Coturnix japonica: one gene and its partner. The protein of the gene in region 2 purifies or fractionates together with the protein of the main gene of each other region. This does not show direct contact. Links are inferred from orthologs where the notes say so. Each region holds a gene or a part of one and is shown on either strand. Other genes may lie near its edges.

The links.
Region 1: the proteins of RPS29 (region 2) and HNRNPU fractionate together in Homo sapiens (co-fractionation; 3 studies listed by BioGRID and IntAct, with this or other methods). This does not show direct contact. The link is inferred for Coturnix japonica from reciprocal best matches to the Homo sapiens genes RPS29 and HNRNPU.

Annotation. Positions count from the first base shown.
Region 1 is NC_029518.1:31,203,106-31,214,217, forward strand, and holds the end of HNRNPU (heterogeneous nuclear ribonucleoprotein U), read left to right. Parts: intron 1-21; coding exon 22-134; intron 135-499; coding exon 500-763; intron 764-979; coding exon 980-1,099; intron 1,100-1,549; coding exon 1,550-1,678; intron 1,679-2,028; coding exon 2,029-2,197; intron 2,198-2,734; coding exon 2,735-2,974; intron 2,975-3,443; coding exon 3,444-3,646; intron 3,647-4,824; coding exon 4,825-4,896; intron 4,897-5,297; coding exon 5,298-5,351; 3' UTR 5,352-7,166; downstream 7,167-11,112. UniProt on the Homo sapiens protein: DNA- and RNA-binding protein involved in several cellular processes such as nuclear chromatin organization, telomere-length regulation, transcription, mRNA alternative splicing and stability, Xist-mediated transcriptional silencing and mitotic cell progression.
Region 2 is NC_029520.1:52,236,169-52,247,158, forward strand, and holds RPS29 (40S ribosomal protein S29), read right to left. Parts: upstream 9,528-10,990; 5' UTR 9,453-9,527; coding exon 9,391-9,452; intron 9,257-9,390; coding exon 9,157-9,256; intron 9,070-9,156; coding exon 9,061-9,069; 3' UTR 8,957-9,060; downstream 1-8,956. UniProt on the Homo sapiens protein: Component of the small ribosomal subunit. The ribosome is a large ribonucleoprotein complex responsible for the synthesis of proteins in the cell.

The DNA of each region.
Region 1 (11,112 bases), on a different chromosome or scaffold from region 2:
AAGTTTAAATTTCTTGTTCAGGTGAAGAAGAATTTTCTTACGGCTATTCTCTAAAGGGAATAAAGACATGCAATTGTGAGACTGAAGACTTTGGTGAGAAGTTTGATGAAAATGATGTGATTGGATGTTTTGCTGTAAGTTTTCTCTTAAGTTATTCTCTTGAGGAAAAACATCCTTTAATTTTCAGGCTGCTTTGATGTGAGAAGCGGTTGATTTGAAGAAAGACAAGTTATTTAGCGTACTGAGAAGGTAGAAGTAGCATGTATAAGCAGCAGTGGCTGCTGTCAACCTTTCTCATGTTTTCCAAGGCTTTGAAAAGAATAATCATGTCTTAGCACGATCATTGATATTTAAAGATTGTTTCCTAATTTAAGGATCTACTCATTTTATAATGGTGTTATTAGAAGTTATATAAATACAGCCAGTGTGGTGAAATATTAATGTGTTTTTATGCAGTGTGCATGTTTTTACACAAACTAACGCTTTGTCTGTGAAACAGAATTTTGATGGTGATGAAGTGGAGCTCTCGTATTCCAAGAACGGACAAGAGCTTGGTGTTGCATTCAAAATTAGTAAGGAAGTTCTTGATGGGCGCCCACTCTTTCCACATGTTCTCTGCCATAACTGTGCAGTTGAGTTCAACTTTGGTCAGAAGGATGAACCTTACTTTCCTGTACCCGAAGAGTATACCTTCATCCAGAAGGTCCCCCTGGAAGACAGGGTTCGAGGACCAAAAGGACCTGAGCAAAAGAAAGATTGTGAGGTAAGTTTCCTGGTTATCTCAGAAGTTGTTGAGGAGAGATGAACCCAAGTGTTGTATTTTAAGCTGTTAAAGAAAATTCACCTTTCTGTCTGAAGAATTTAATACTGAGTAGCTTGTGCCTCTCTCCATACTAGATTTCCATTAGGGTTGCTAGGCTTAGTTGCTTATTAAGGAATATCTGTGAGCTAGCATCAAATACGGAATGTGTTGTAATAGGTGGTGATGATGATTGGATTGCCTGGAGCTGGCAAGACTACATGGGTAACTAAACACGCAGCAGCAAATCCTGGGAAGTACAACATTCTTGGGACGAATACTATTATGGACAAAATGATGGTAAGTTGATCATTTAAAGACTTGCTGTAAATCCAAGGTCCTTGGCTGCCAGGGAATTCCCTTCAGTCTAAGTAATCTAAGAAACACGTGATCGTTATTTGACTGACTGTGAGTGCTAAAGATGTTACCGTGCTGAGCTACTTCTCATACACAGCATAGCCAGATTTTGAAATTTCTTATGTAATAAATATCAATCAGGAAGTAATTGATGTTTACCCATTTGTTTGTCTCCGTCCTCAGTACAGAAAATACAGCTTGGAGTCAGTAATACAAGTACACCTCAGATTCAGCTGTATCAATTCAAACAAATTCTTTGCTTATAAAAGAAAAAAACTGAATCGGAAGTTTGTATTTATGTATTTTGTATCCCTGAAGCCAGTTGAAAATAACTTTAGCAGAGCAAAATATCAGTTGTGTGTACTGAGTCTACTATAACTCAAATTTCTATAGGTTGCAGGTTTTAAGAGGCAGATGGCAGACACTGGGAAGCTTAACACACTGTTGCAGCGAGCTCCACAGTGTCTTGGAAAATTCATTGAGATTGCAGCTCGTAAGAAGCGGAATTTCATTTTGGATCAGGTAGAAACTTCAGTAAAAAATTGTTAAGGAATTTTGCTATAGGCTGTAATGTAGTAATTAAGTGGGATTAAAGTTATATTTTAATAGCGGTTGTTTCACTTACTGATTTAATGTGCAAAGTTGAGATGCTACTGCAAATGCTTTTCTGAACTTCTATGGGATGTGGGAGGAATAGTGTAACACTTTGATATGAGCTCGTTCGTAACTTTGCATTATGCAGCTTCTTTATGTCCAGTTATTTGTAAACTTCAATGCAAGCTCTTGTAGAGGTGAAGTCTATACACCATAAGTTGACTTCCTTAACTCTTACAATGACAGCTACGTGTAGTAAGTTACTGCATTTTTTTCAGACAAATGTGTCTGCAGCTGCGCAGAGGAGAAAAATGTGCCTGTTTGCAGGCTTCCAGCGCAAAGCAGTTGTTGTTTGCCCAAAAGATGAAGACTACAAGCAAAGAACACAAAAGAAGGCAGAGGTGGAGGGAAAAGATCTTCCAGAGCATGCAGTTCTCAAAATGAAAGGCATGGAACATAATCCTATACTGTGTTTTAGGATGCTGAATATCTGCTTAAAGGATTAAGTAAACCTGAAATCTAAAAATTTACGTTATCTTAAACAGTTGTACTTAAACAAAACTGGAAGACTATTGTAACTTGTAGGACAACACTATATTGTGTTCCCTCTGCTGCAGTCCTTAACACTACTCATTTATGCTGATATGCTTCATGCAGATGCACAAAGCTGTCTTGGCATAAAGTGCCCTATTTAAGTGACATATTTGGCAGAAACTGATGTTCTGAGTGGAGGCTTATAAAGGGAAAAAAAAAAAGCATAGGCAGAATGCTTTCAAGGTTTGGAACAGTACTGGCAACTCCATGGAGACCCTTTTATTTCTTTTGTCACTCTTACCTTTCTTTACTGCTCAAATTACGTAATTTTGTCCCTATGCTGAGAGAATGTTGGGGGTGGGAGGAAGAATGAGAGAGAAAGGTGGTTAAATGCAGCTTGAATTGTGGCTGAATGGAGATGCTGAATACTCAGTGTTTTTGCAATTATAGGGAACTTCACACTGCCAGAGGTAGCAGAATGTTTTGATGAAATAATCTATGTAGAATTGCAAAAAGAAGAAGCTCAGAAACTCTTGGAACAATATAAAGAAGAAAGTAAGAAATCTCTTCCGCCAGAAAAGAAACAGAACACTGGCTCAAAGAAAAACAAGAAGAGCAATAAAAATCAGTTTAATAGAGGGCAGAGGGGGCGTGGAGGATTCAACATGCGTGGCAACTTCAGAGGAGGAGGTGAGCCTAGAAATAAGTGTATAAATGTTGGGGATAACGGATTGCAAAAATAAGAAAGGAAAGCTTGTCCTATTTGAATTGCATCCATTCTGTGACAGTATCATCGATTTCAGTTCCAGTAAGTTTTTAATAGCTTGACCTTTAGTGCAAAGCTAATTTTCTGACACGTTACAACTGAGCTTCACAAAAAATGTTGCTGTTTGTGTAGTTTGAGGTACAATTTTAAGTTCTTACAGTAAATCTGGTGCTTCCTTGTGTAGAACGCCATATTAAGGGGGCATTTGGTATCTTTATGTTGCTTGGCCGTCATGGATAAAAGGTTATTTTGAAGTGTTTGCATTGGAACTTCTGCAGTGAATTTTGGCATCTCGTTTTTTCACCTTTTAAGAGTCTTTGTTTGAAGCTGTAACTGCGTGAGAGACAATTAAGGCCTAACAGGTACTTGAATTGAGCAAACTTTTCTCTGCAGTCCCAGGCAATCGAGGTGGATACAACAGGAGGGGAGGCAATATGCCACAGCGTGGTGGAGGTGGAGGTGGCGGTGGTGGCGGCAGCAGCGGTGCCATTGGCTATCCTTATCCTCGTGGCCCTGTCTTTCCTAGCAGAGGTGGCTACTCAAACAGAGGAAATTATAACAGAGGTGGAATGCCCAACAGGGGAAACTACAACCAGGTAATGCTTGTCATGGAGGAGTTACTAGTTGATATGCAGTACTCTGGATACTGTTCTGTTGTTGACAGGCTTGTTAGCTGTGGATAGTAGCAAGCTTGGTACACTTAGTTCCACAGCAAAAGATTTAACTTTCTAGCTAAGAGTACATGCCTGGAGCTGTAAGAACTGTGAATGCTGATGCAGTGGTTTCCTAGTAAGCCTATCTTAGTCCTGATAAAGCTGAAGGTTTTTAGAGTTTCTGTTCCATTGTAAAGCACTTCATAGTCTGAGCTTCATTTATAGAATGTGGGTCTACCCTGTGCAGTTTATGCTTAAGTCTGGCTTATAGTCCAACTGTTTGAGTTTAACTAGAGTTGGGTTTTGATACTGCACAAATTGTGCAGAAGTCCGTATAAGAGCAGCCATACTAACAGGTGGTTTTGTTCCCTCATGCTGTCCAACCTGCAGTATCAGTAACTGTTGTTTGACCTTAAGGGCAGAGTGTATCTGTTCAGAAGATAAAGTGGATGGCATTTAAAGAATTTTCTGGAAATTGCTCTGGAAGGAGTCTTTGTATTGACATCTTGTATCAAATCATGAAAGACATGCTAGCTTTGGTCTTAAACTGACAAAGTATCAGTGAAAGCACTTGAAAATATGATTCTGATTACTGAAGAGCCAGTAGATGGAGCCCAAGCTAATAAACATGGCTCAGGTTTGTCTAACACAAATGGGAAATGCAGTATTTTATCATAGATAGTCTTTTGTACAAAGGCTTTTATTTAAAGTTTTGTGATCTAACTCCTCTATTTTAAGTTGTATGACCCATATCCTTTTGTCCGATCAGATAACATAGCAACTACAATCTTCCCTAACTAAAAATAGGCAAGCTCTAGTATTTTTAGTTGTCCTAGTGCAGTTTAGTAGCTGGATATAGGGTGAGTCAAAACTGGATTAGCCAGCTTTCCAAACCATTGGCAACTGTAGTCTGTGTCTGGGGTAAAACCGCTGCCACTAAACAGGCAGGTTTTAAGAGGCAGCTGCTTGAGGCTGGCTTTTGGTATTTAACCCAGCCCCGTTACTGATACTTGAAAGATTGGGTATGGCACGTGTTTTGGTGGCAGTAGAAGGACTGGTGTTGCTGTGTTTCTGCCAAGTCTGCATGGATGAGGTGGCTCAAAACTGTTGTCCTCTTGCAGAACTTCAGAGGAAGGGGGAATAATCGTGGCTACAAAAACCAATCTCAGGGCTACAACCAGTGGCAGCAGGGTGTAAGTAGTAATAACTAAACTTTTTCCTCTTAATTTGACTGTTAAGTGTTTCAGAATGCTTGGAAATTAATGTGTAACCAGCACCAGAGAGCAGAATCTTCTAATGCCAAGTAATATTATAAATAGTTCTGCAAAGCTTGATCTGGCTTGATATATCAAGTATCAGCTATGGCGCGTTGGTCTTAATGGCATTGAAGTATTTGGCTCTGTTACTACTGTGTAATGAACGTAACCACCTCCAGTTGTTCTGGGATTTGCTGCTATTTGAGACGATTTTAATCTCAAGTTCCTGGATAAGTTAAATGTGTGTTTAAAAACTCGTTCTCTAAGAAGCGTGTTATGTGCTAACTTAATTAACTATTTTAACTAACTTAAATTAACTATTTATCCATTTATTGCAGCAATTCTGGGGTCAGAAGCCATGGAGTCAGCATTATCACCAAGGATATTATTGAATACCCAAATAAATGAACTGATACATATTTCTCCCAAACCTTCACAAGAAGTCGACTGTTTTCTTTAGTAGGCTAACTTTTTAAACATTCCACAAGAGGAAGTGCCTGCGGGTTCCTTTTTTAGAAGCTTTGTGGGTTGATTTTTTTCTTTTTCTTTTTTTTGTACATTTTTAATTGCAGTTTTAAAGTGATTCGTAAGAGAACCTCAGCATTGTGCACGATAAGAGAATGTGTCAGTATTTCAGGGTTCTACATTTTATCTGTAAAATGTGACTTTTTTTTTTTTTACCACAACAAAAGTAAAACGTTGCTTTGTACCTGGTGTCTTTTTATTAAAGAATTTTCTCCTTTTTCCCCCCATTTACCCCAATTTCTAAGAAACAGTCGTGAGTCGTGTCACAAATACGATCGAAATACGAGCAACCAGATTCGTGTGGAGGCTCCTTGGTAGCCCTCATGAATATATAATGTAAAGCTCCATATTACACTCCATCCTCTCTATAAAGCTTTTGTGTGGGGAGGTGGGAAGGGGGTGGTAAAAGTTTCTGGCAATAAACTAGGACTTTTTTGTAACATTTGGAACTCGATGAGATTGGGGGTGAAGAGGAAACCTGGAGCTCAATAGTGAAGGTGGAGTGTATGTAGAAGCTCTTAAAGTTGTAAAACTTGGTTGCGTTACTTGTGGAGGCTCAAACTTGTGAAGGTACACCACCATAATTTCTTTTCCATTTGTTCTGCATTTTGATTCTGAAAAGAAGCTGGCTTTGCCCATTTCTTATTAAACAAAACTTGTTGTAAATCCAGTTGTCTAATGGGATCTATATGAAGTTAGCTGTGTGTCTGTATAACTTCCCCACCAAATACTGTATACCTAGTGTGCTTGTAGTAGTTACTCCACCATTTTGTAAGCTAATGAAACTGTGAGTCACCCATTTTATATCTAATTTTTAATCATGTCGATTCTCAAATGGGTGTATCTCCTCAGCCTGCTGATTCCTTTTCTCTTTAAAGAAAGTGGGTGGAGAAATTTAACTCTAGACGTTTGTTTGCAATAAAATAAATTCATTTTACTCTTGCTTTGGGATTGTTGCCATCAAGGTCTAAAATCCCTTTAACGCTATAAAGAGGAAGAGAATGTATGGAAGTGACCATGTCGGACAGTTCTGAACTCATTACTTTGTACATGCTGAAATACTTGTGTTTCTTTAATACTCTAAACCAGTGGTTGCTCTGTTAGAGGTGTGTCACATGTATAATCTCACAGCTTAACGGTTACATGCATAGGGCAGAAGTCTTCTGAGTTTCACTTGCATCATGTAAATCCACTTAATCTATTTATTGTAAAATAGAAACTAGGGAAGAAGTAGAGGAGGAAACCGCAGGGACTAGAGGAGAGTTGTCACAGAACGACTCCTGAAGTGAAGCAGAGCGCTTTAACTGCTGTTTTGTTCAGACTTACGCTTTTTGTAATACTGTAGCGATAATGTTAGCTAATAACCTACTGCATCTTAATGCCATGAGTCAGGGAAGAAACACAACTGCTTGGTGTTGGCCTGACAGCGTACATGTGAAAACATTGCTGCCAGCAGCTGGGAGTTGGAGCTGGTGTGCCGAGTTCCTGTTGGCAGTGTACAGTAGATTGCAGAGGCTTTCCCAGCAGCAGCGTAGAGCTAGAGGCAGTGTAGTGTGCTTGAAACCTTCCTCAAATGTTAGTCGATTTCTAATAGTCCTTGAAAGTAACGATAAAGTTGTGTTGCTCTTCTAGCCTTTATAGCAGATGACATTGCATATTGACATTAAACATTAACAGCACCACCTCCTTGTTAATACTGCTTTAAATCATCCCTTTACTTTGAACAAGAACAATGTAAGTTGTCTTTAAAGAAACATTATTTAATGAACTAGAAATATGGGAAATATAAACCCAACTGTTTTTGCTGAAATGGAATTTTCTTTAGACTTGCAAAGCAAATCTTAGTGTAATTAAGTTCCACCTCCCTTCTGCCTTCCTCCTAAGAACCTAACACTTTGTATGGAGTGCTGATCCTTTGCTTATTTTGGTACTCTATAAAATTATATAGTCTTAAACTGAAATATAAGAGCCTACACTTACTATGTGCTTGTAAAGTTTGTATTTTAATGCAAAAGTCTGGGCTGTTTTCTTCTCTTTTCAACATACGGTGTTAATGCCACAGTGGAGAGGAAGGGCTTGAAGTGGCTTCCCATTGAAACAGGAGTATGTCTCAACTAAGAATACTCCTAAATGAGGAATGTTGCCTTAAGGTACTCAGCACTAACTGCTCCCTGTGATTTCAGGTACAGAAACATAAAGCTTCTATGTGCCATCGAGGAACAGTTAGTTCAGAAATGTGATATGTGAGTGTAAGTACTTGCTGTGCTCATTGCAGAGCAGGCCTTCATTTGTGTGAGGCTTGGTTCAGCCTGGGTTCATCCACAAGGGAAAACTTCCTTTAGTTTATCTTAGCGTAGCTATTGCTAAAAGGGAGATTTGTTTTGAAAATTGTTTACCTAGAACATCGCTACTGTTCCAACTAACTTCAATTGCCATTTATTTCCCTGAAAAAGTCTGGTAACTTAGTAGCATCGATGCAAAGAAAGCACAGCTGCATGTTGTCAGCATGGCAGGGCTGAACCATCTGTCATATTGAGTAACTTCACAGCTTATAAGGACTTGTTTACAGGAGGAGAGGTGCCTGTTCCAGCAGCTGTGGTGCTGGTGGGGGTGTAGCACATGCTCGTGGCATATAACACCGTGGCAGGAGGGTGGTGAGGACTGGGGCTCCTTGTAATGCAGCCCAAAGCTGGAGCGCCTGGGCCCTGCCTCCACAGCAGCACCGTGGTGGCTGCTGTATGTCTGAGCCTCAGGAGCAGGGCTGCACTGCTGCCTGTGTCCTGCAGCCCAGTCTGGGGCCTGCTCACATCTTGCTGCTGCAGCTATGGCTGCTTTACTGTAGAGCCGTGTGTATGAGGCCATGCTGGAGACGAGACAGAAGGCTTCCATTTGGAAGGCAAAGCCAACAAATACTTGTGTTGTCTTTGAGTCACTGCGCACAGCAGTTGCTAGGGTACGTGGGGTAACACGGGAGCTCCCCTCACACCCTGCTGTTGGCATGAGGCTGTGTCCTTGGGGCTCTGTGAGTACCTCAAGCCTGGCACTGAAGCATTCTCAGGTAACCTGAGGTTGGGCCCTTACCTGTGGGATGCTGGATTCTAGCTTACTCTCTGGAACTCCTTATGGGAGCCCTGTCCTCAGAGCCAAACCCTGCTGTAAGAAGCCAGCTTTGCTCATGTGTTGGGCTGCCTGGGGGTTACTGGGCAGTGGGGTCTCCATGTGGTGGAGCCTGTGTGCCTCGTGCCTATGGCAGAATGATGTTTGACTGGCTAAAACATTCCAAAATTGCCCTTCTCCCTCAGCACTGCCCCATTTTTTCTGATGGTGGAATAAACTAACCCAGAATTGTGGCAATGCTGTGTGCAGTCCATGCCACTGAGGTTAAAAAAAGTATCAGTGGTATAAGCTGCTGGTTTTTTACATCTCCTTCTATGACACTTCTGTTTGTAATACAAACAGCCAATGATGTCATCTCTTACAGCGTGGAAGTTTCCTTCTCCATGACCCTTTGGAAAACTAGGCCAGTGCTTTGTGGAAGTGCAGCTGTGGGCTGAGCCCTGAGCTGTCTGCCTGAGTTACAGATGGAGATACGGAAGGACTTCTGCAGATGTTCCACAGCTGCATCTGACACTCTCACAAGCAAAAAAGTGCACACACACAAACACACACTGTAATACAGCTCACACTGCTTTGGCCCTGAAATGGGGCAGAGGGTGGGGACAGACAGGAGGCTGCAAGGAGAGTGGAGATTTAGAACAGTAGCTTTGCAATTTAAGTGTTAAAAGCATTGTGAGGTTAGAGCAGTGTCCCTCCTCACACAAAGCTCATCTAGTCTTATGGGAACGACTGCAGTGAGGGAGAGGGAGGCCTCTTGTTACAAAGGTGAGTTGTCATAAGGATCGTAGAGTACAGCTCCCAACTCCACATGGGACAACCCAAAACTCAGACCACGTAACTGAGCATTGTCCAAATATTTCTTACACTCTGGCACTCATGGCTGTGCCCACTGCCCTGGGCCATGTTCCATGCCCACCACCTTCTGGTACAGACCCTGTCCCTCACCCCCAGCCTCCCCTCCCCTGGCACAGCTCCATGCCGTTCCCTCAGGCCCTGTGGCTGTCACACAGCAGAGCTCAGCGCTGCCCCTCTGCTCCCTGTGAGGAGCTGCAGCCGCCATGGCTGTGGCCTTTCCTCAGCTCCGGGCTGGCAAACCCAGGGCCCTCAGGCACTACTCACACACGTTGCCCTACAGACCCTTCATCTTCATAGCCCTCCTTTGGACACTTTCTCATAGTTCTATGTCCTTACGTTGTGGCATCCAAACCTGCACCCAGTGCTGGAGGCTGCAGGAGGCAGCCAGGAAAGCAGGGCCTGGCCAGCATCGGGCTGTATGTGACTCCAGCCTTCTTTTGCCTTTGTGCCAGCGCTGGGAGTGGCAGGAAGTTTCAGCAGTGAGTGAACTGCTGCACGAACTCAGAAGTCGCTCAAAAAGAGAGCTGCTAAATGCTTAACACATTGTAAACTTCAAGAGGGAACAAACAAAGGCAAGTGTAGGAAACCTGTTGTGCAGTCATTCACGCTGGGTGCTTTCTGTCCTTGCACACAAGCTACCTTACAGCAGGTTTTTGTTCCATTTCCTGCTGCAGTAGACGGTCTTTGATCTGCAGAATCACTTAGGAGCTAAGTTGCTGAAATCGAAACTATTTTCACACATACATAGAAAAATACTATGACGTGGTAGTCCAGGGAAGATGCAGTTTTTACATTGAACAGTGATGGTGGAACACACAAGGATCTGGAAGTCCTTGCTCCAGGAGTTACCTCTCCCATAGCTGGGATCAGACAAGCCCTTACTGGGACACCTATGGTTACTGATATGGCTTATAAAAGCAGGTATTTCTTTCCTGGTCTGCACCTGGCTTTAGTTTATGTTACATTAGCCTACATTAACTCTTCCAGAGCTCTTTGCTTACAGTTTCCCCTAAGTTCTAACAAAAACTCTCATTGGATGTGTGGAGATCTGTGCTTGGAGCAGTGTGGGTGCCTGAGACAAGTTTAAAGTAAGAAGGTTCAGCAGTACCAAGAACTCCCTGAAAGAAGTTGTTAGGTGTAATCATGTGCTTGAAGTACTAATTGCTTACAAGGTGAGCAATATGGGAAAATTTGATTCTCTTTTCTTCCAGTCCGCCTGTATGTCATTTATGGCACAGGCTGGACCTTCATTTGGACCGCACTGAACTTTCAGCTTTGTGGGGCTGCTGAGTGAAGTTGATAAGATAAGCTCTTGTGTTATAAAAGATAAAAGGACTTTTGCCTTTGTGTTAAGAAGGCAATAAAAGAGGAAGGGGAGAGGTAACTAGTAGGACTCACAATGTTTTTTTCTGAAGGACTAGCAGCCGTCTCTGAGTTGTAGAACAGTTCACAAGAGCCCTCTAGAGATGCTGTCTGTCCTTCCATCGAAGCTGTGCAGTAGCAGTGCTCAGTTGGGGCAGATGGGGCTTCATCTAGCAGGATCTTGAAAACCTGCAAGGACAGAGATCACACAGCCTGTCTAGGCAGCCTATTCCCATCCTGTGCTACTTTCAGTAAAGAAGTTCATCCTAATGGCTGCCCTCCACCAGCTCAGGC
Region 2 (10,990 bases):
CATCACCTCCAAATTCCAGATCCTGCAAGAGTGCCCTGTGCCGCTGGTCATGTCTCAGCCTGGGCCAACCCTTCACCAGCTGCCATCCCAACTACAGCCCCAGCACAGCCCCAGGTGTAGGGCAGCGCTCTGGGGCTCTTCCCAGAGGCCCCAAATTACACCTTTTAGTCTCCATTCCCAGGGCATCTGAGATCACCCATGAAATACAAAGGCGATGAAGCCAACCCAAAACAATGCAAGTTTTGCAAATTGCCCAGAAGTGGCCAATTTCATACATACACCAACCTCTGATGTAACATCTTCCATTGCCTCTGAGACAGAAGGCCAAACACCCCAAAGTCCAACAGAAGCATATGGAGGTGCCACTGCTCCCCTCAATGGCTCCAGGCGCAGGGGTAGCTCTCCAGTGTCCCCAAAGGCGCTGGACCCTCAGGTCCATCTTCTTCATGCCTAAAGGGGTAAATAGCAGCATGATGGGAATACAAGTGTCTGAGAGTCCCTCCTCCCAACCCTTCCTGACTCTATGAAGGTGGGCTCATCCCCCCTAGCTACAAACATCACTGATCCCACCAGCCCAAACCCACTTCCCATGTATGGCAGGACAGACACACGTGAGGATGGTGTGAAGACCATGGCAGAAGCACTTTGAGCTCATGACCACTTCATAATCACTGCCAAAAGTCCTACAGAGATGAGACTGCATCCACACGGGTGGGACGTTACCAGCAGGGTCATCTGCTCAGTGCCCCCAGCCAGCACCACTCCCCGCAGGGCCAGGACCCCATACAGCAGATGCTCTTTCTCTGACCCCAAATCTCTGCTTTACCCATGAAAGTGGAGCTTCAGGGCTGTACCGGAGCTGGAAATGCTGCCCCTGGAGCTGGGGGTCATGAGGTGGCACAGGGCAGGGTGTCAGCCCAGCAGAGATCACAACCAGCACAGAGCATGAAAATGTTCCTCATGCAATTTTAACTCCGGTGCACAAACTTAGCTCCATTCACTTGTTAAAGTTTTATGTGTCCCTGGGAGGTGGGGAGGGGGGGAACCATCAGCACTGCTGGTGTTTTTTATTTGTGTTTCCACTCACAACAGATCCATCTGCTTTTATCGGCTCCCTGGTTGACCTCCAAAAAAGCAGAGGCTGTAAAAGAAAGGGTGGGGATCTCCAACCATGATGGATTGTGGGGTGAAGCCCCAATACCACAAGAGGAAGAGTTTGAGCCCCCATCCAGCAGGAACCAAATGGGATTTCACAGTGGTCCCCAGGGATGCAGGTGCTGAGGTCACTGCAGAAGAGCCGGGCTCCAACAGTACAGCCCTTGGGCCAAAAATGCGGAAAATCAGGGAAAAGATGTGAAGCCAAACAATAACAGAACTTCTCAGCACACGCTGTCATGGACCACCTGAAATTCCCCTTGCCGTTTCTCTCCATAAATGTCATCCTCAGGCAGATGCTCTGCAGTTAAGGGATGTTTGTTTGGATGTATAAATAGTCCCTGTCTCTGCTGGGGCTCCTGAGGCCGCGCGGTGCCAACTGCTGCCCCTCTGTGAGCTGTGTGCCCTCGTTTACCCCTCAACCACCCCACAAACAAGCACTGCCTCCTCGTCCTCCATCCCCTCACTGACGCAATGAATGAGTTTAACAAGAGGCGACATCCAGAGTTACTGCTTTCTGGATCACGCATAGAATCACAGAATCATTAAGGCTGGAAAAAACCTCCCAGATCCCCAAGCCCAAACCCAACCCATCTCCACCATCCACGTCCCTCAGTGCCACACCTCTATGGTTCTACATGTCCCCACTACCACCACCTGGGCAGGCAATGGCACTTCTTCATCCTCATGGGCACTTGTGTGCTTTCCATCACACCCACCTTGTCATCCTGGGACATGGGATGCTCCTTCTTTAGCCCCCACCAACACTCCTCATAAACGTCCTTTACTGGTGCAGATTCAGTGGTTTTCAGCCCGTCCTTTGGGAGGTGGATTTGATGCAGTATCCCATCGTTCAGTCTCACTCTGTCAGAGTCTCTTGAAAAGAAATAAAGTCAAATCGCAGCTGCAGACACGGTGTTTTATGGATGTCGCAGCTTTAATATTCCTTTCACAACAGGCTGTGGACATAAGAGGCCAGTTTGTCAATCCAGCCATTGCCTGGGGCTAAGCTGCTAATTCTGCTGCGTGGCTGAGGAGCGCACGAGAGAGCTGCTTTCCAACGCCAATGCTCAAGAAGGGGCACTTTCTCCCTTTGGTCCCTGCCATTTCTTTTCAGTGTTGGCTGAGATGATTCCACTCACAGCTTTGTGTTGCAAATCTTTTTTAATAACTCGTGGGTTTTCTTCTGCTCGTAGCAGCGCTTGCTCTTCTATGTGGTTTTCCTATCTGATAAAGGCTTTGAAGATGCTTTGGCCTTTTCTGTGGAGGAGCAGTGGCATAGAAATGTAGAATCAGAGAATCGTCATAGAACAGCCTGTGTTGCAAAGGCCCACAGTGCTCATCCAGCTCCAACCCCCTGCTGTGTGCAGGGTCACCAACCAGCAGCCCAGGCTGCCCAGAGCCACATCCAGCCTGGCCTTGAATGCCTGCAGGGACAAGGACTCCACCACTGCCCTGGGCAGCCTGTTCCAGAGCTTTCATGCAAACAGCCCTCTTTGTTTTTGCATGGAAACTGCTGATCCTGCAGAATCAGAGTAGACCCTGGGTGGCTTTACCCTGCTGGCAAAGCTCTGCTTTGGCATTCATGCTTTTACACCATTTGCAATAGAAATTAAAGTATTCCTATCCAAAACCAGATGTTTCAGCTGAAAAGAGAGGTATGACTGTTGGTCTCACATGGTCTATAGCAGGAGCACTAAGGCAACCAAAAGCATATCCCCATGATTTACATCACCCTCCCCCCTGCTTCTGAGGGTTCAAGTCCGAAGCCAACCCCAAATCAAGGTGAGTTTACAGCCATGCTTGGAAGCGGCCCCAGTACATCAGCTGTGTGAGAAAGGTGGGATTTTCCCTCTGCCAAAAAACTTTGAGCAATAACACAGGTAAATGGCTCCTCAGTGAGCACTGAAAACAAGTTTGGCTTCAGAATAATCCAGCTCACAGATGGACCACCTCAAAAAAAGAGTGTTACCAGTGAGGTACAATGAAAAATGGCACTGTTTTATTTGGTATATGATGAGCAGAATCTCCCCACTGTTCCCAGAGAGCTGGCTTTAGCAGGTACAACTGTACCTGCAAAATCTTCATACGTTGCCTCCAGACAAGATGCTTACCTTCTTTTCCTATGCTGATAATAATTTTTTCCATATGTTATAGCTGTTAAATGTAGTTTGCACTCCCCTGATCAGAGGACAGGCTTTGTGGCAAGGAGGAGCCTAGTGATGGGACACGGATGCATCACACTGCACAGCACTGGCAGCCAGGGCACTGTGTGCTGCACCTCTAAGCACAAGAACATTTCATTGCCCATCTGACCAGCTGCAACGAGGCATCCTCAGAGCCATCAAACAATCCTCCTTCTAAGCACTTGGTCTTTGTTGGGAAATGAATTGGGTGTATGGCTGTAGATGTCCAGAGTATAAACAGCACTCTGCTGTGGGTGTTGGGAAAGAATGGACAGACCCATAGGGCTGAAGATCAAGAAGAGCCCATCCACATCAATGGCCACAACCGACTTCATTACGTCATTCCCAGGAGTTGGATTCAATGACCTTTCATAGAATAGAATCATAGAATCACAGAATGATCCGGGTTGGAAGGGACCTCAAGGATCATGTAGTTCCAACCCCCTGCCTGGCAGGGCCACCAAACTTTCACAATTACTAGATCAGGTTGCCCAGGGCCCCATCCAACCTGGCCTTGAACACCTCCAAGGACCTTTCCAATGGGTCCTTTCCAAGCTGGGATGCTCTATGATTCTGTGACTGCTGCAATGTCTGAGCTGTGTTAACGGCCTTCCAGGTGTTTCTTTCCTTCATTAGTACAAACACCTCAAGAAAATCAGCAGTGCTGAACCAACTTCAAACCTTGATCCCTGCATCTGCACCGGGGTAGGACTGTGCTCTTCCCAGGCACCTGCCACCACAGCCCCATCGATGCCCATGTATCTATTCCAGTTATCTCAGAACATTTTGTTTTTTCATGGCAAGAACTCGTCCCCGAGCAAGTTGTGTGTGAAGTTTAGATGGCAGCAAACCACTGCCTGCTGTGCTAGGTGGCTTCATAAGCAAGGTCATGCTCTGCAGGGAGGAAGCCCAAAAGCACACAGCCCAAAGTATGGCCATCAACACCCTCAGACAGGGAAAGAGTGGAGCTCTGTACAACTGTGCTGCAGGAGCTCATCATGTAGTGCCACAGGCCCTAGGGTGATTCAGCACACTCGATGATGTTTCACCGAGGTTAATTTAGATTCAAACATAATCGATTATGGGGATTTGGGACAGAGTTATGTCGTGAATTTAGCTGACAAAGGCTGGATGTTAGGAAAGTTTTCTTCTCTGAAAGATCGGTGCTGCAGGGGCACAGCTGCCCAGCGAGTGGAGGCGTCACCATCCCTGGGGGCAACACTGGTGGCAGCAGATGGTTGGACGTGGTGATCTCAGAGGTCTTTTCCAACCTTAACGATTCTGTGGTTCTCTAAGATCTGTTATAAATACATTTATAAAGGAGGAAAATGTCTGATGGCTTGGGAAATTTAGAGCTATTGAACAAAGTATTTGACATCTGTATTAACTCAAAACCCCAAACGGGCTGAACTTGTTTGCATTCCTTCAGCCTTAATACTGGGTGAATTTACCTTACTGATTCTATGAATCTATAAGCTCCCCTCAGCACCACCAGCCGTGCAAGGCAGGCTTCCCTTTAAAATCCAAGCTGGAAGGAACCCATAGGGATCACCAAGTCCATTCCAGCCCCACACAGCACCACCCAAACCCACACCCTATATCTGAGAGCAGCGTCCCAGTGCTCTCCAAGCCCAAGCAGCTCCAGGCAATGCCTGAAATAAAGTGAAAATCCTGCTAGCAGGGAAGATGTCAATTTGATTTTTAAGTTTGTTTAAAGCAGTTTTAACACTAAACAAGTAAACATTTATAACTGAATAAATAGTTTTCAGTTTAGTCAAGGAGCATTCAGTGGGTGTTGGCATAAATATTCAGTTATGGAAATTATTTGATTAAAATAGATTTTACATGCCATAAATAAACATTGTCTGCAACAAACACACACTCCCAACAAGCATCTTGAATTAGAGAGCCACTGATGCCTAATGCCAGCCTTTGAAAATGTTTTATTTAGCAGCACTTCTGCTCACCACGCTGCAAGCCAGATCCCATCTGCATGGGCTTCTCCAGGCATTCATCTCACTGTACCATGAAGGGGAGCGGGGATGAGGAAGGGTGATGCACCAACAGCCAAGGGCTCCTCTGGGTGCTGAGATGGAGCAGGGGCCAACAAAGTCACCAAACATGGGCCTGCAATGGGTGGGCAGCACTGCAGGGTCAGCCTGCCTGGTGTTGGCTGTCTGCAGAAATCAGGGTGAGGAGTGTGTTCCAGCCAAACCTGCTGTTGGACTGGGCTGGGAGCGATGCTGGCCTCTAAGCACAGGGTGTGTAGAAGAGCAACATCGGAGCACTGAAGCACATTAAGTGACACATAGGTGGGGGCAGAGACTTTTCCAATATGTATTCATAAATAAATGCCCCCAGGTTGACGAGTATTTGTGGTGCCAGCTCGGATGAGGCCCCTCAAGGCAAGAACTGAAAATGTGGTTCTCATCTCAGGCTGAGAAATGCAGAGCTCCTGGCCAGCCTTGGCAGAGGGCTTTGCAGAGCTGCTTCTGCACAGAAGCTGCAGATCCAGCAGGCAGACTGTGCCATCTAGCTTCTGCTTTAATACAGGCTGCTGCCGTGTGCGCCTGGCCGTGCAGTGACATCTGTACATGGGGAAACAGGCACCCAGCACCCTGCTTTGGTGGTAGACACAGCATGGGCACAGGACCCTGCCATGGTGCTCAAAGCTGAGTCTGGAGAAGCACAAAAGTGTGCACAAGGACCATACAAGTGCAGACATAGAACCATAGAATGGCCTGGGTTGCAAATGCCCACAGTGCTCATCCAGCTCCAACCCCCTGCTGTGTGCAGGGTCACCAACCAGCAGCCCAGGCTGCCCAGAGCCACATCCAGCCTGGCCTTGAATGCCTGCAGGGATGGGGCATCCACAGCCTCCTTGGGCAGCCTGTTCCAGTGCGTCACCACCCTCTGGGTGAAAAAAACACCCTCAAAAGACATCTACAAGCAGCAGCAGAAGAAGAATCAGCTGATTCTAATAAGAAAGCCCTAGCTCAGACGGGTAGCAGTGGCCATGCCAATGAATACTCAGGTTGAGGATCACTGCAGCTCTGACAGCCTCCTGCACTGACACCAGAGCAGCCCTCAGCCCCTGAGGCAAGGAATAGAACTAGCCAAGGTGACAAGAGCTCCCTGGCACACAACCTGAGATGCTACAAGCAGAACAGCCCAAAGGCCACCCCCAACCTGCTCCCACGCAGCAGCTCCATGGGTTGGGCTGCAGCTCAGTGGCCATTGGGGCACAAGAACCCCCCCCAGCACCTGCATTGCTGCAGCCTACCTGAAGGAATCCTATTTTTCCTATCTGAGCGTGTCAGGCAGTTTCATTTTTCTCGCCTCAGGGTGAGTTCAAAAGCCAATGTTCTACCCAAAGCTTTGCAAATTCCTCTCAGAGCCTCTGATAATCACAGATTTTATCTGGTGCGTAATCCAATGCAACGCAGTGTTTTTTCCTATACTCCAAATCCCATATAAACTCTATTTCAGCAATTGGAGCTTCATCTTTTTCAAAGCAAACTTATCAGTAGCTTTTACCAGGCTCCAAACAGGCAACGTTATTTCCCTACAGGAAAACATGTCTTAGCTGTTCGCTATTAATGCAAAGTCCTTAAAGAGCGCTTTGATTTTACCTGTTCTTCGGGGGAATCCACAGCTCTTTATAAATCACTTTGCTTCCAAATAAGTTTCAGCTTCACATCTGTGCACCTTCAGAGCCTGTAATCATCAGCTTGAGGATGGAAATGAAGGCAGTTTTCACAACGAGCTCAGCAAACTCCAGCTTCTGGCACCTAGTTTTCTCTATATACCAGCAATCAATACCCGGTTCAGGCAGCAGGAGGTGTAAAGGCACCACAGTTTGTGCTACACCACCTTCCCAGTAGGCTTAAAAGATGGGAGCTGCAGAATAGGAACAAAACAAGAACATTTCACATTCCCCAAATTACCAAGTGATGATATAGCTGGTTTAATGAGCACAAAGTGATTCAGAAGCATCTTTAGTTCTGTTTTCAGGTAGGAACACACTTCTCAGTTGGCATCCCTGCTGGGCAGCTATTGGTACAGAGCTTTTTTTAGTACCATTTTCCATCTCACGGTTAACACGTGCTCAGCCCCTGGGCCCAGAGCCCCAGCAGTGCTGGAGCTGCACTATTCCCTGTGCCCCACACCAGCTCCCCTCATGGATTTAAGTGTTGGTTTACACTGAGCAGTTCCCATTAAGGCCCCCCCCCCAGCTCGTTTGGATCCTCAGACATCACCACTTTGGGCTGTAGGAGGCTTCCTGGCAGACACTTGTAATCCCCTTAATTATCAGGCCACCCCAAACAGTGGCAAACCTTACCTAGAGAAGGGCACCCTACCCTCCCCAACATTGGGAATGACCCCTACGTCAGAAATAACAGAACTTGCCACATCAGTGGCATCTGTATGAATTGAAGACACCCCCCTACATCTGCCTGAACTCTCTCTGTAAGGGAAATGTAAGGACTCTCACCACACCCAAAAAGACAAAGAGCTGTTGGAGCACATCCTGAGAAGGGCAATAAAAAGGATCTCAAGGATCAACACCTCCGCTATAAGGGCAGGCTGTGAGAGTTGGGGCCGTTCAGCCTGAAGAGAAAGCTCCAAGGAAAGCCTTGAGTGCGTTTCCAATACCTAAAGGGAGTTTCTAAGAAAGGAGACCCAGCTCTTCACCACTACACTGTGGCAGAACAAAGGGAAATGGTTTCAAACCAAGAGGAAATTTTACATTGGATATAATGATGAAGGGTTGTGTTGTTTCATTTCTTGCAGTGAGGCACTGTCACAGGTTGCTAGAGAAAAGGTGGTACCCTGGGCCTGGGGGCACACAAGGTCAGGGTGGGCAGGGTCTGAGCGTTTGATGGAGCTGTGGGTGCTCCCATTCACTGCAGGGAATGGCACCCGATGGCCTTCAAGTGTTCCTTCCAACTCAAAGGATTCTGTGACACACCAACCCAGACCAGAGCAGCAATAGAGCCCCAGGAGCCCAATTTATGAGTGTGAGATAACACCAGAGTCACCAAGCAGCCAAGAGCAAGCAGGCTGCATCCCTAGGGCTCAGAAGCACCACAGAAACACAGAATGGCCTGGGTTGGAAGGGACCTCAAGGATCATGAAGCTCCAACCCCCCACATTGATACCAGCCCAGGCTGCCCAGGGCCCCATCCAACCTGGCCTTGAACACCTCCAGGGATGGACGGGGCATCCACAGCCTCTCTGGGCAGCTGTTCCAGCACAGCACCACTCTCCCAACTTAAAACCATTTCCCCTTGTCCCACTATTATCAGCCCTTTCAAAGAGTTGACTCCCCTCCTGATTATAGGTTCCCTTCAGGTCCTGGCAGGCTGCACTGAGGTCACCCCACAGCTTTATTTCCTCCATGCTGAACAAGCCCAGCTCCCTCAGCCTGTCTTCACAGGGGATGTGCTCCAGCCCCTGGATCATCTTTAAGGCATCACCTGGTTTTGTCTGGCTAAAGCCTAAAAAACCAAGCCAAGCCCATTCAGACCAACCCAGAACCCAGCCCTCCTAAAACAGGCACGATAGCGGGATACGAGCCCTACAAACAGATACACAACACAGCGAGACACCGGTTAATAGGGCAGGGAGGCCATTTATTGACAGAGGCTACACCGAGGTGCTGCAGGGAGGGCCGAGGAGAACGCAGGATCCAGCGGTGACCTCATGATCCCAGCGCTCAGTCCAGCTGCAAGAGAACGACAGGAGTGAGGAACCAGCAATGGGGGGCAATGGGGGGGGGGGCAATAGGGGGGTGCAGGCAATGTGTGCTGACCTTGATGAAGCCGATGTCCTTGGCGTACTGGCGGAAGCACTGCCGGCACATGTTCAGCCCGTACTTTCGGATCAGGCCGTGGCGGTTGGAGCACACGCGGCTGTGGAGAGAAGGGAGCGGTCAGGGCGGGTAATGGCGGAGCGGGGAGAAACCACGACAGAGTGAAAGAGACCGAGACCCACCAGCCCCAATAACCCCAATAACAACCCCAATAACCCCGGGGTGAGCACTGACCACGACCGCGATCCCTGCCCGAACTTCCTGGGGTGGCTCCAGTACAGCTGCTGGTGCCCCATGGCTGCGTGCGGCGCCACCAGCACAGAGAGAAAGATGGCGGCCCGCGCGTGCGCTAATCAACCCGGCCCGGCCTCCCGCCCTGCACCGCGGCACTGGGGGGCGGCGCGTGCGCAGAGCGACCCGCTCCCCCTCCCTGCGCCGTGTGACGTCACCGCCGTGTTAGAGCTGTATGGCTCGCGCGGCGCTGCTGCCGCTGCCGGGCGCGGTGGCGCACGCCTGTAGTCCCAGCTACTCGGGAGGCTGAGCCCGCCGGATCGCTTGAGCCCAGGAGTTCTGGGCTGCAGTGCGCTATGCCGAGCGGGCGTCCGCGCTAAGGCCGGCATCAATATGGTGAGCCCCGGGGAGCCGAGGCGCACCAGGTTGCCTAAGGAGGGGTGAACCGGCCCAGGTCGGAAACGGAGCAGGTCAAAACTCCCGTGCCGGTCAGTAGCGGGATCGCGCCTGTGAATAGTCACTGCAGCGTAGCCTGGGCAACACAGAGAGACGCGGGTTCCTTTTTGACCAAAACACGAAACAATTTTACCCACCCGCGACCCCCGGCCCGTCATTATTGCCCCGTGTGCGCAGCGCCTCCTGCTGGCGGCACCGCGTCATTGCTGTGCCCTGGATACAGCGCGTTATTGCTGTGCTCTACAGCACCTCCTGCTGGACACACCGCGTTATTGCTGTGCTCTATAGCGCCTCCTGCTGGCCGAGAGCGAGCTGTGCACTGCGTACACCGCCCCTCGGCTGCCGTCCCCACGCCGACCTCCGGGCTGAAGGCGCTGCGCTTTCACTTGGTGTTTTTCTCAGGACCTGAGGAAATGGCCACAAGTTGTATCAGTTGAGGTTTAGGCTGGACATAAGAAGGAACTTTTTCTCTCAGAGAGTGGCCAGGCACTGCAATGGCTGCACAGGGAGGTGGTGGAGTCGCCATCCCTGGCAGTGTTCAAGAAGCATCTGGATATGGAGCTAGGAGAGATGGTTTGGGGTTTGCTGTAGGTGTGGTAGGGGGAGGACGGTTGGACTGGACGATCCTGTCAGTCCTTTCCAGCCTTGTGATTCAATGATCCCATGATTCTGAACGCTCCCATCTCGCAGCCTGTCCCCGTCCCGCAGGTCTCGGTCGCCGTCCCTGGAGCTGCTCCGGAGCCGCTGTGGGGCACATGGGGTGTGTTGGGATCTCGGGGGCTTTTCCAGCCGGGACCATTCCGCGCTCCTGCCGTTCTACACAGAATCACAGAATGACCCGGGTTGGAAGGGACCTCAAGGATCATGTAGTTCCAACCCCCTGCCTGGCAGGGCCACCAAACATACACCTTTACTAGATCAGGTTGCCCAGGGCCCCGTCCAACCTGGCCTTGAACACCTCCAAGGACGGGGCATCCACAACCTCACTGGGCAGCCTGTTCCAGGGCCTAACCACTCTCCTAGTGAAGAACTTCCCCCTGACATCCAACCTAAATCTTCCCTCTTTCAACTTAAAACCATTTCCCCGTGTCCTGCTATTGTCAGCATATCCTACAGCTCCTCCCCGCCGCCAGGTGGCGCTGGTTCC